3 linked regions of the Rattus norvegicus genome follow. The protein of the gene in region 1 purifies or fractionates together with the protein of each later gene. This does not show direct contact. Links are inferred from orthologs where the notes say so. Each region holds a gene or a part of one and is shown in the gene's direction. Other genes may lie near its edges.

The links. The genes of interacting proteins can lie anywhere in the genome.
Region 2: the proteins of Hspa12a (region 1) and Akap12 purify together in Homo sapiens (affinity purification with mass spectrometry; 3 studies listed by BioGRID and IntAct, with this or other methods). This does not show direct contact. The link is inferred for Rattus norvegicus from reciprocal best matches to the Homo sapiens genes HSPA12A and AKAP12.
Region 3: the proteins of Hspa12a (region 1) and Epb41l3 purify together in Homo sapiens (affinity purification with mass spectrometry; 4 studies listed by BioGRID and IntAct, with this or other methods). This does not show direct contact. The link is inferred for Rattus norvegicus from reciprocal best matches to the Homo sapiens genes HSPA12A and EPB41L3.

Annotation. Positions count from the first base shown.
Region 1 is NC_086019.1:267,926,011-267,929,656, reverse strand, and holds part of Hspa12a (heat shock 70 kDa protein 12A), read left to right. Parts: intron 1-2,607; coding exon 2,608-2,711; intron 2,712-3,640; coding exon 3,641-3,646. UniProt on the Homo sapiens protein: Adapter protein for SORL1, but not SORT1. Delays SORL1 internalization and affects SORL1 subcellular localization.
Region 2 is NC_086019.1:43,133,987-43,137,732, forward strand, and holds the start of Akap12 (A-kinase anchor protein 12), read left to right. Parts: upstream 1-1,528; 5' UTR 1,529-1,684; coding exon 1,685-1,834; intron 1,835-3,746. UniProt on the Homo sapiens protein: Anchoring protein that mediates the subcellular compartmentation of protein kinase A (PKA) and protein kinase C (PKC).
Region 3 is NC_086027.1:116,582,350-116,586,079, forward strand, and holds the start of Epb41l3 (band 4.1-like protein 3), read left to right. Parts: upstream 1-910; 5' UTR 911-1,116; intron 1,117-3,730. UniProt on the Homo sapiens protein: Tumor suppressor that inhibits cell proliferation and promotes apoptosis. Modulates the activity of protein arginine N-methyltransferases, including PRMT3 and PRMT5.

The DNA of each region.
Region 1 (3,646 bases):
CTCAGTCTGTGAATCTGTCCCTTGCTATGTTTTTGCAAATACACAAACATTGAATCTCCGGCAGATTCAAGTTTGAATTTTTGGCAAATTTACTTAATAAGTGGGAGTTTTCTTTTTATAAATTTATGTTTATTACCACTCAGTAATTATATGTAATGACTGTGACATTTTTATGTATGTGCATAGTATATTCTGATTTTACCTCTTGTCTTACTTAGGGTTCCTATTGCTGTAATAAAACACTATGACCAAAGCAAGCTGGGGAGGAAAGGGTTTCATTTTAGAGTTCCAGGTAGCAGTCTGCCATAGAAGGAAGTCAGGACAGAAAGTCAAGCAAGAGAGGAACCCTGGAGGCAGGAACTAAAGCAGAGGCCATGGAGGAGGGCTGCTTACTGGCCTGCTCCTCATGGTTGGCTTATGTCAGCCAGGACCACCTATCTGGGGTGGTTCCACCCACAATGGACTGGGCCCTTCCAGATCAATCACTAGGAAACGCAGGCCCACCTGAGCATTGGTGGTGCACGCCTTTAATACCAGCACTCAGGAAGCAGAGGCAGGCAGATCTCTGAGGCCCGCTTGGTCTACAGAGTGAGTTCCAAGACAATTAGAGCTCCACAAAGGAACCCTGTCTTAGACAACAAAAACCCAAAGCAACAACTAAAGGAAGGAAGGAAGGAAGGAAGGGAGGGAGGGAGGGAGGGAGGGAGGGGAGAGAGAGAGAGAGAGAGAGAGAGAGAGAGAGAGAGAGAGAGAGCGTAAGCAAATAAATGTAGGCCAGTCTGATGGGGACATTTCCTCAGTTAAGGTTCTATCTTTCAAAATGACTCTTGCCCGTGTCAAAGTGATAGAAAACCAGCCAGCACATCCCTCATCACCCTCTCTTGTCCCATTCTCTTCACAACCAGTCCCCTTTACGTGTGTGTGTGTGTGTGTGTGTGTGTGTGTGTGTGTGTCCCAAATTCATTAGAGCTGTGTACAGGAGCATAGGTGAGAAGTTATTTACAGAAACACAGCACCTTACTACTGTGTCGCTGGAAGGCCATCTCTTCCTCTTCAGCAGCCATCACTACTTATAACTCTTAGGGGACAGTAGGGCTTCATGATCCTGCCTCTCCCGTGACAGGATGTTGAAAGCCTGACCTCAGGCAGTTCTGGTGTGGGTGATCACAGCTGCTGCAGGTTCCTGTTTAGTCCCATCGGGGGACATGTGCAAATCTATTTGTCTCTTCTGTTGGATGTTAGCGTCCTCTGATGATCACGGCCCACATTTCATTAGGGATGGGCCTGTGCATGCCTCACTATTGTGTCTCCCCCTTTCTATTTGGTGTGCCTGGAACACTCCTTAAAAAAAAAAAACAGTTATTCCTCTGTGGTTCAGTTACTACAGAAAAGAGAATAAATAGCTATTCATCCTTCTAGTTATTTTTTTTAAAGTGGTTTGGTGGTATACAACTTCAATCCCAGCACTAGAGAGGCAGAAGCAGGAGACTCTGTTTGGGGCCAGCCTGGTCTGCATCGTAAATTCTAGACCAACTAGGGCTAGATGGAATGGTGAGACCCTATCTCAAAAAATAAAGTGGATCCTAGCATCCTTCAAGATGGCACTGAGTTTTATTTTGTAGGGCAATGTGGGCTTAACCATGGGTTCTATATCTTAAAGTGTAATAACTATGGTCTTGTTGATGCTGAGTGTCCCACCTTGGACAGGAATGGCCTCTTCTATGTGGTTCTGAGCCCCTTTGACACAGCAAACAGTCTCTGAAGTATCTTTGCCCTCTGCTCTATGAAGATTCTCCAGATTTACCTCTCGTACTCTCTGCCCCCAAACTGCACTAGGCTGTTTCTCCAAGAAGCCTTGATTCCTTTTAGTGAGAAGCAGTAGGTTTGGTTCAGGTTTTGTGCCCTCTAGACAGGGTCACACCAGGCTGGCTGTCTTACTGGGATGATGTTTTCTTTGCCCTGTTGGTTCCCTGGAGAGAACGCCTGCCCTCCAGGTCAAATCCCAGGTCCTGGGCACACAGTCCCTGGGGCCCTCCAACCCTCTCAGTGTGGAAACTAGCCAGTCACAACCAGACACGGTCGGTCATTCCCCACCACGTACTGTCCTTTGGGTTATACCATGGAAATATGTCCTGGCTGGGGAAGATGGGGTCTCTACTGAGAGTCTGGATAATGAATGGTTTCCAATACTGTTTAGTCCCCAACATAAGTTAAACTAGGGAAAAACCCAAACAACAGCAACATCAAACATTGCTAAGTGTTTCACGGGCATAGCATCTACTTGAACTTCACAGCCTCCCCTGGGAGAGGCACTAAAGTTAGAACTATTAACCTTGGTTCCCAGTCACAGAGACATTGGCCTTCCTTATTCTGGGGGAGTTTGATGCCAGCAACAAAGCAAGGAGAAACGGAGAAGTCATGTCTCAGCTCTAGAGCAGCTGAGGGTCTACGCTCAGGCGGTCAGGGGAATTTCCAAGAATGCCTTTGACTTTAAAACCCTTTTATCCCTGCGGTGGGGACAGATGTTCTCTCAGGCCACACATCTGTGCAGATCAACCTGGCACTGTGCACTTACTCACAGCTTCCTTTTCTTGATGCTCTTCCCAGTGTGGACTTTGTGAAGTGGTCCTCCCAGGGCATGCTAAGGATGAGTCCGGATGCAATGAATGCCCTCTTCAAGCCAACCATCGACAGCATCATCGAGCACCTCAGTGAGTACCGATCGGGTCTTAGCCCCCGTGGGACAGAGTTGGGATAGGGACAGTCCTTACACAGCCCAGTCCAGTGGGGGAATCTGGATCTGGAAGCTACAAGGCTGGATGGAGTGGTTTCATCCCTCAAAATCCTGCTGAGCTGAGGAAGCCGAGGACCTGTCCTTACCTGGGCTTTGCTTTTGACCTTCAAGGTCAGAGGTCAGGGAACTCTGAAGCCGTAATACCCTAGAGTGACAGGGCTTAGGAGTGTATCTTGTTTGAAGTGTCAGGAAATCTTAGGAATCCTTGGCTTACAGGGAAAGAAAGAACTGTTTTGTGAAGCAAGGAAGGATTCCAGCAACACAGGGTCTGTCTGTCAACACAGAGTCTGTCTGTGCTGCCTTCTTGTGTGTTGGGTGTCCTCCCACAGGGATCCCCAGAATCCAAACCCCTCCACATGTCCCTCACCTACCTTTGTGAATACCAGAGACAGTAATGTCTGTAGCTTAGACCACATACTTAGAGGATTACTATTCTTACGAAGAATGAATCCTAATTGAAGTCACCACGACCCTTGACAGCTTGAGATTCCACTTGGCATGGCCCTGGCCTTTGTCCCTAAGCATACAATGTGTATGCTTTCTTCATAAGAACCTTCCTTCAGGGTTGGGGATTTAGCTCAGTGGTAGAGCGCTTGCCTAGCAAGCGCAAGGCCCTGGGTTCGGTCCCCATCTCCGAAAAAAAGAAAAAAAAAGAAAGAAAGAAAAAAAAAAAAGAACCTTCCTTCATAAGACCAGCTCAATCAAAACTGGGTTCAACGAGCTCAGGCATAGCCAGTGCCCAGCTGATGCCCATCGGTCAGCCGACTCCCACAGGCTCAGACAGCGGGGTCCCCCTTTGCTGGCTTGCTTTTGGGTACCTGACCTTCCTCTCGCCTTCCCTTTCAGGAGACC
Region 2 (3,746 bases), about 220 Mb from region 1:
ATGTTCTCCAAACAGTCCAAATTTAAATTGAAGCAGGGTGTGGTCTCGCAAGTCTGTACTGTCTTCCCTCCAGGGACTGAGGCTAGAGAGCTTACGGCTAGCCTGGACTAGATTGTGAGAAATTCTGTCTGAACAAACAAAACAAACCGAGGTAGGTGACATACTTACAAATAACCAAAAGCAACTTGAAAGTCTGTTACCAAATGAATAAACCCTAAAGAAATTGTCCTTCGGAAATAAATTGAGAAAACAAATTTTATCTCGAAAAACGAGTGGTCCCCAATATGCATTGATATGACAGCTAATAAGGACTAAATGATAATAGCTAAATGAATGTCTCCATTGACACTCAAGTAATCTGTAATCAAATCTGGAGACGAAATATTATCTGGCATCTAGGTTCAATGCTCTTACTGGGTTTAAATCATTAATTCCTTCATTCATCCACAGAGTCTTGCATTGTGGCTCTGAGGCTCAATGAAACTCATTATCCAAGCCATGCTGGCCTCAGGCTCAAGCTGGACCCTCCTACCTCGGCCACTGGAGCACATCAGGCTCACCTGACATCAGTTCATCTTTTCTTCCTAGCCTTTTCATGCTTAATGACGGGTAATCTAACAAAATTTCAATTTAAGTCAAAGACTTGTTGGCGGCTGTGTTAATACAATGAGTACTTAATCGAGCGGAGGAAAAAAACAGACAGGCTCCTTCTTTGAATTCTTTCAAAATCTTCAATGTTTTGATAGTGGCAATGGCGACTAAGCAGACCTAAGTCAACGTGGTGTTTAAGCGTCGGGAGAGAAGGGTGGCCTGGATGTGTAACCTTCAGCATCAGACGCTCAAAGGACAGGCACATTTCCAGTAACAGCTTCATTTCCCCGCATTCCCCCGGGAAAGAGGGCGGCGAGTTCTGTTGATGGCATCAGCTGACATCACTGGCTGGGATCATGGGGACGCTGGGCCCACCTCAGCGGTGGCCTGACTGCATCAACCTCTGGGTTTCCCAGCCCCTGCCACGTGAGCCGCCCTAATATGGCCAGGCTCAGGAGCAGCCTAGGAGCGCTTCCTTTCTCCCGGCTGAAGGAGAGAAAGCTAGAACAAATGCTTAAAGTCAAACACAACCTGAAGAAAAGCAAATGGGGATTTAGATTCGCACCAGGTCAAATGCAAATCCATGGGCTGCAGAAGATCCAACCTTGGGTTATCAATCATTAAATTAAAAAAACAAAGCTTTTGCCTCCGCCCTTTCTTTTGCTGCTCCTGAACCTTCTGCAGCCCCAGGACAGACCCCAAAGCTCTTGTTCCCTTTAGTGACCTGAGAAGCCCTGGGGGCGGGGTGGGTTGCTGGGGGCCTGGTGGCGGAGTCTCTGGTCCTAGCTGCCTAGGGGGAGATGCTGCAAGGCGTGTCTGGGCTGTGCTCATGTGATGAAGGGAGGGAAAAACAAGGAGGGGGGAGGAGGCTACGAGGTGGCTTTTTTTTTTTTTTTTTTTTTTTTTCTTTTAAGGAGTTTGCCACGAGCGCGTCCCCTTCATTCTCAGTCCGGGTACGTTCTCAGCAGGATCGCAGAGAGCCGGAGCTCTTCACCCTTAGTCCCTGTGGTCCTGGGCGCACATCCTTGCCCTTCTGCGTCTCCGCGGTCCCAGGAAGGCAGCTAGCCGGCGGGAGTAGAAGAGCCACTGAGCCATGGGCGCAGGCAGTTCCACCGAGCAGCGGAGCCCCGAGCAGCCGGCGGGGAGCGACACGCCGAGCGAGCTGGTGCTCAGTGGCCATGGGCCCGCAGCTGAAGCCTCGGGAGCAGCTGGAGACCCCGCCGACGCGGACCCCGCCACCAAGGTAAGCTGCGGCCACCTGCCCGGGTGGGGCGGGATGGAGATGGGGCGTCCTGGCGGTTTCCGCCTGCCACAACTTCCCGGCGTTGCAGCCCATCTGCAAACTCGAGCGCAGCCCTTTGCAGTCTCTGGGGTCTTTTGCACCGGGGCGGGGCTGGCATCTTTGTGGAGGGTTTCTAAGGGCGGCGACCTAGCCAGCCCTTCTGCAGCCAGCAAATCTGCCCCTGCCCACTGTTCTCCAGTCTTTCTTCTCTCTTCCGGTGGGCTTGCAGCCTGCGGGGGTGGGGAGGGATGACCCGTGGGGCATCCATAAGAATTGACCGTGGCCGGGCATCTTAAGCCACTTTATACACCCCCTAGATCCCAGAGAGGGAAAGTCGGGACCTGCTTTGAAGCAGAGCAAACCTAGGTCCTAGGGTCCCCGCCCAGTGTTGGCCTTGATACCAGCCTCCACCCGGGCCACCAGGTTTGGTACCCAGAGTCCTGCGGCAGCGCCTGGGACACCGCCTAGCTGATGCAGAGAGCAGGCGTGTAGAAGAGAGAACCGGAGCAGAAGCACCAATGGAGAGATAGGCAAAGCTGGAGTCCTGTCTCCCTTTCTCACAGTTTGCTGTCTGTGGACTCAGTTGGATAAACAAACATAGGAGTTAGAAGTTCTGCATGGATGCGGGCAAAGGCTTAAGTGATCGTTCCTTGCACTCTTTCTGTAGAATTCACTGTAAAGCTCTAGAAATATGGCATTTTATAGGATGCTTGGCTTGAGCCTGGAATATTTGACCCTGCCCACCACAGCCTCACGTTGTGTCTTGCTCTCGTTATTGTGTTTTATTTCTGTCCCCTTGTTATTGTTCAGGGTTGTTAATTAATTTGCTCACTTGTTTTAAGACAGGGCTTCACTCCGTAGCCCAGACTGGCTTGGAACTCACTAGCTAGCCCAACTAGTGGCAGTCCTCCTGCCTCAGCCTCTCAAATGACTTTGTAGCCACACCCAGCTGGCAACGTATTTTAGCTATTTCCCTGCACGTGTTTGTGAGCAAGACCTCGCTCGGGTGGATTTATGGTAATCGTACAGAAACATGTGAACAACCAAACAACTTAAACGAAAAAACCACCAATTGCTGAATTTGGTGATCAAGAGCAGCGAGGACCTTTAGGAATGGGTCAGGAAGTGTAAACATCTTTGTGTGAGGACAAAACATTGAGATCCAGGTAAATCTCACAGAGATGGGATCTGATAGCTTTGAGTTCTTTAGTTGCCTAGTATAATGTAGGCTGAGTGGCCTATCTTTAATTGTTTCTGCCTCCAGTTTTTAACTCATCACCACTTGTAAAATCCAAATAAAGTCCTCCCTGCCTCAGACGCTCAGGTTTTCTGAGAGGCTTCTGACACACAGTCTCCATCTTTTGGATGGTTTGGTTACATTTTAATATTTGTCTAACACTCCTTTAAAAGAAAAAATTACTTTTTTTTTCTTTTCTTTTTTTCGGAGCTGGGGACCGAACCCAGGGCCTTCCGCTTGCTAGGCAAGTGCTCTACCGCTGAGCTAAATCCCCAACCCCAAAAAATTACTTTTTGAGGAGTACACTTGTGCATGGTTTGCGGGTGCTTGGGGGAGCGGTGGGGGAGCGGGGGTGGGGGCGGCAAATGTGTCATGGTGCGCATGTGCAGAGGTCAGCGCTTGTGCGGAGGTCAGAGGCCCGCTCTGTGGGGTTAGTTCTCTCCCTCCACCTTTATGTGGGTTGTGGGGTCGAACTCATGTTGCCAGCTTTGCACAGCAAGCACTCATTCTCGCTAAACCATGTCACTGTCCCTCACCATGTTTTGACGACAATCACCTTCCGTAACCTGCGTTCCCCTTCTCCATCAACCTCAACCACCATCTTGAAACACCCAAGCAGTCTCTTTTAAAAGATGG
Region 3 (3,730 bases), on another chromosome or scaffold:
TTTTTTTTTCTTTAAGCATGGCTTATGTCAGACTACTTCACTCAGAATTTAAATTCCCAGAGGTGCACATCTACAGAACACAAGTCCCTAAACTCTATAGCAGACTAGTAACATAATTTCCTAACCTTCTCTTCCAGAGAGGTATCAAAGTTCCCTCTTCTCCAGCCAAGGCAATGGACATAGTCTCTACTGACATAGTCTCTATTCTAGATACCCAGGCCAAGACTCTATCTCCTCAGGCCTGCTCACAGAGGGAGCCACCACACATCTCTGCTGGAGACATTCATTTTGCAGTGTATCTATGCCATCCATTAGTAAATTCAATAGTTCGTGAATCTCTTTCCCTCCCTTAAGGAGTTCAGGCCAGTGACTAGGTGCTTTGAGAAAGGCCTTAGGAGCCTTAAAGAAACAGGGCAGTTGTGTGTGTGAGATGACCAGAGAACTAAGCAGTCTCTTTCACCAGCAAGTCAGGATGTATGTCTATCTCTCTCTCCATTTCAGTTTCAGCTTTCTAGATGCCAGGAAAGAGGGAGCTGCAGAGAGACCCAAAACCTAGTTACCATCCTAATTAACTCGGGTCTTCTCTAGGAACTTAAATATCTGGAGTATTGAACCTGTGTAAGACGCTTCCAATTTCAAAACGGGAGGGTTGGGGGCAGGGAGGGGAGATACTGCAGTTCCCAAGCCCATAAAGAATTCACCGGAAGGTCAAAGAAAAAAAAAAGCCTCTCTCCACTCTCCCTGCGGGGTTCTGCAAAGGGAGTGGAGGGGACCCAGAGGCCCTGTAATATTCCAAGTGAAATCCAAAGGCTACTGCTACGCGGTCGCGGTCCCCAGAGCTAGGATCTAGAGGACCTAGGTGTCCTAAAGAACTGCGGCGGCCCCCTCCCCCGCGCGGGAGGGAAGCCGGGACGAGGTTGGCCTCCCTCGCTCTGGTGTCTGGGCGTGGGCCCCGCCGCAGCTCCGCGGAGCCTCCGTGCCTCCTGCAAAGGGGGGCGGGGGAGCCCTGAGCTGCGGCTTCCTCCCGCGCGGAGTCTCCTGCGCACCGCCGAGCAGGACGCCAGCGCCAGCCCGGTCCCCACGCCGCGGCGCGCCCGGCCTTCGCGTCTCCCCCAGGTAACTTTTCTGCCCTTGGCGGCCGAGGGGCTCCGAGGGGGGCTCACTTCCGAGGCGCGCGGGGCTCCGGGACCCCGGTGCGCTGCGCTGCGCTGCGTTCGCCTAGCTCGGCCTCCGCCCTGGGGGCCTCCCTCCGAGCTCCGGCCCCCGGGGGCGACCGGGCCCTGCGCCCCTCTCTAGCCATCGGCGCGGAGCCCAGGGTCGGGGCGCCATGTTCGGAGCTTGCGGGGGCTCGGGGCGACACTGCGGCGCCAGGCCGGGGACTGTGCGCGGGAGGGGCTGTGCGCCTGCAGGCTGCGGCTGCCTCTGCGTCCCTGCCCTGGGCGGGCGCGGCGGAGCTCGGAGCATCTCGGCTCCGCGGCGGGGCCGGCCGGTTTTACGTAACTTGCCTCCTTCCCCGAGTGGCCAGCGTCCCCGGGCCGTTGGCCGGCCAGCCAGGTTGCTCCGGGCCTGGGCACCTGCCGGCCGCGCGCCCCTGGGACGGCTCCCTGCATGGGGCGGGAACGCGCCCGGGCCTGCAGACCAGTGCACCCGGGCGGGCGCGGCTCACCTGGCGCCCTCCGGACTGCGGGTCGAGGGAGGGGTGGGGGCGGGGAGGCTGGGGGGCCGCAGGACTCGGATCCCTACTAGTTGCGAGTGGCGCGCCTAGGCTCCTGCACCAGGGGGGCTTGCTTTTTCGGGTTGCTCTCTAATCGCGCCCTACTTCTTCCCCTTCCCCCTACCCCCTGCACCGGGTGCCAAGTTCACAGCTTCTGCAATGCGGTGGGTGTGGTTACCTCTCAGATTGTAAGTGTGGTCCTTCTGGTGGGAGCATTCTTGCCCTTTCTCCTTTTAGATTTACTGATCTGAAGTTTTCTTGGAGGTCGCGGGGGGATTTACCCTCCTGTCTTTGCAGAACAGGGTTCAAGTTGGGAAGAGTGCTACAGAACAAATCGAATGATAAAGGGAACATGTGGTATTAATTAAGCACGGAGTCTGAGCAGTCCTGAGAGGGCCAGGCAGTCCTGCTAATATAACGCAATGCTTCCATTACGTGTTTAAGTTGGCGTTTCAGCTTTTTTTTTTTTTTTTTTTTTTTTACATTACTTTATGGAATTGCTTTTGCAGACATCCTTGGCTGTGGTTTTCAGGGGCCCTTTTCGGGATCTATAGGGCGATTGGATGTTCTGAGAGTTACTCTTGGTAGCATAACTTAACCAAGAAAAGGAGTCATGATGTACGGTGCTAAAAAGAAATTTCTTTTTTGCATCTTACTCGGCCTTTTAAATCCTCCATGAAACAAAATTGATGAAACTCCACGTATATCCGGAGGCCATGAATGCAGCGCCATTACTGTCTAGTGGGGCTCCGCAGGAGTGAACCTGAGGACAAGGAAGGGATTTGATGATCCTAATCTTGACTCAGCAGTGGTCCTTACTGTTGTCTTTGACTTGCATGGTCCTTGTGGCATCAACCTTTAAACCTTTGTTTGGAGTAACAAAGTTACTGTGAGCGGAAATAATCTCTAAATTGAAGAAGCATGCTTCTCCCTTGTTAGTTTTCAAAACACTGATCGAATAAGCTGAATGCCTAGTATTGAATTATTTACACTATGATTTTTTTTCCCCCAACGGTTTAGAGAAGCAAGATAATTAGAAGCACAAGCAACTGCGTGAACTGGTCTCGCAGCAAGTTCTTTCAGAAACAGAGCCTGTGTTCTGAGAGGTTTATCGGAAACCAGAAGAGCGACCTCTGTAGCGCGTAAACACCTTTAGGCCAAGGACTGTAGAGCTAAAGGTCAAAGGCCAGTGTCCCGTGACATATTTACATTTAATTTTTAGGAAGTTCCTTAGGTGTAAATATGGTTTAGATTAGAGAGTGCATTTGCCAGTTCCCACTGGGTCCTTGGACTGAGGCCAACTTTGGTTTCTGTGGAAATACAAGATTCGAGTTTATTTCTCTTGACTGGGTGTGTGTGTGTGTGTGTGTGTGTGTGTGTGTGTGTGTGTGTGTCTTTTTAAAACTCTGATGTCAGGGTTGAAAGAGATGAGTCAGTACCAGAAGACCCTGATTCAATTCCCAGCAACCACATGGCAGTTCACAACTGTCCATAACTCCATTTTCAGGGGACCCTACATCTTCACAGAGACAGGCATGTAGAGGAAACATCAACGCACATAAAATAAACACAGATAAATTATGAGAAAACCTTATTTTAAAGAAAACCCAGTGGCAAAGCCACTAAGGGTGCACTGAGGTAGGGCGCACTGAGGTAGGGTGCACTGAGGTAGGGTGCACTAAGGTAGGGTGCAGAGAGGCAGCAGACACCTGTGACCTCAGAGAGCTGTTGCTGCTGCCCTTGGTGGCTGAGCTGGAGTGAGTGTGGAGAGATTGGCTTAGCTTTGCTTTCCCCTCTTGTAGGCCAGTGCGGCCATCTTTTTAAAGTTAGCGCCGCAGAAGTTCTACAGTTGATAAGTGCAAATTGGTGATTGCATGGCAGTGAAAGTGGACCTGGTCCCAGAGTAGCCTGAGAAATATTTTCTTCTGGTGAGAGTTCAAGTATAACGGAAGAGAGGTGTCATAAGTGGAGTACGCTGGCCATCTTAATAATTCCGTCCTCAGAGTCTTTTCCAAG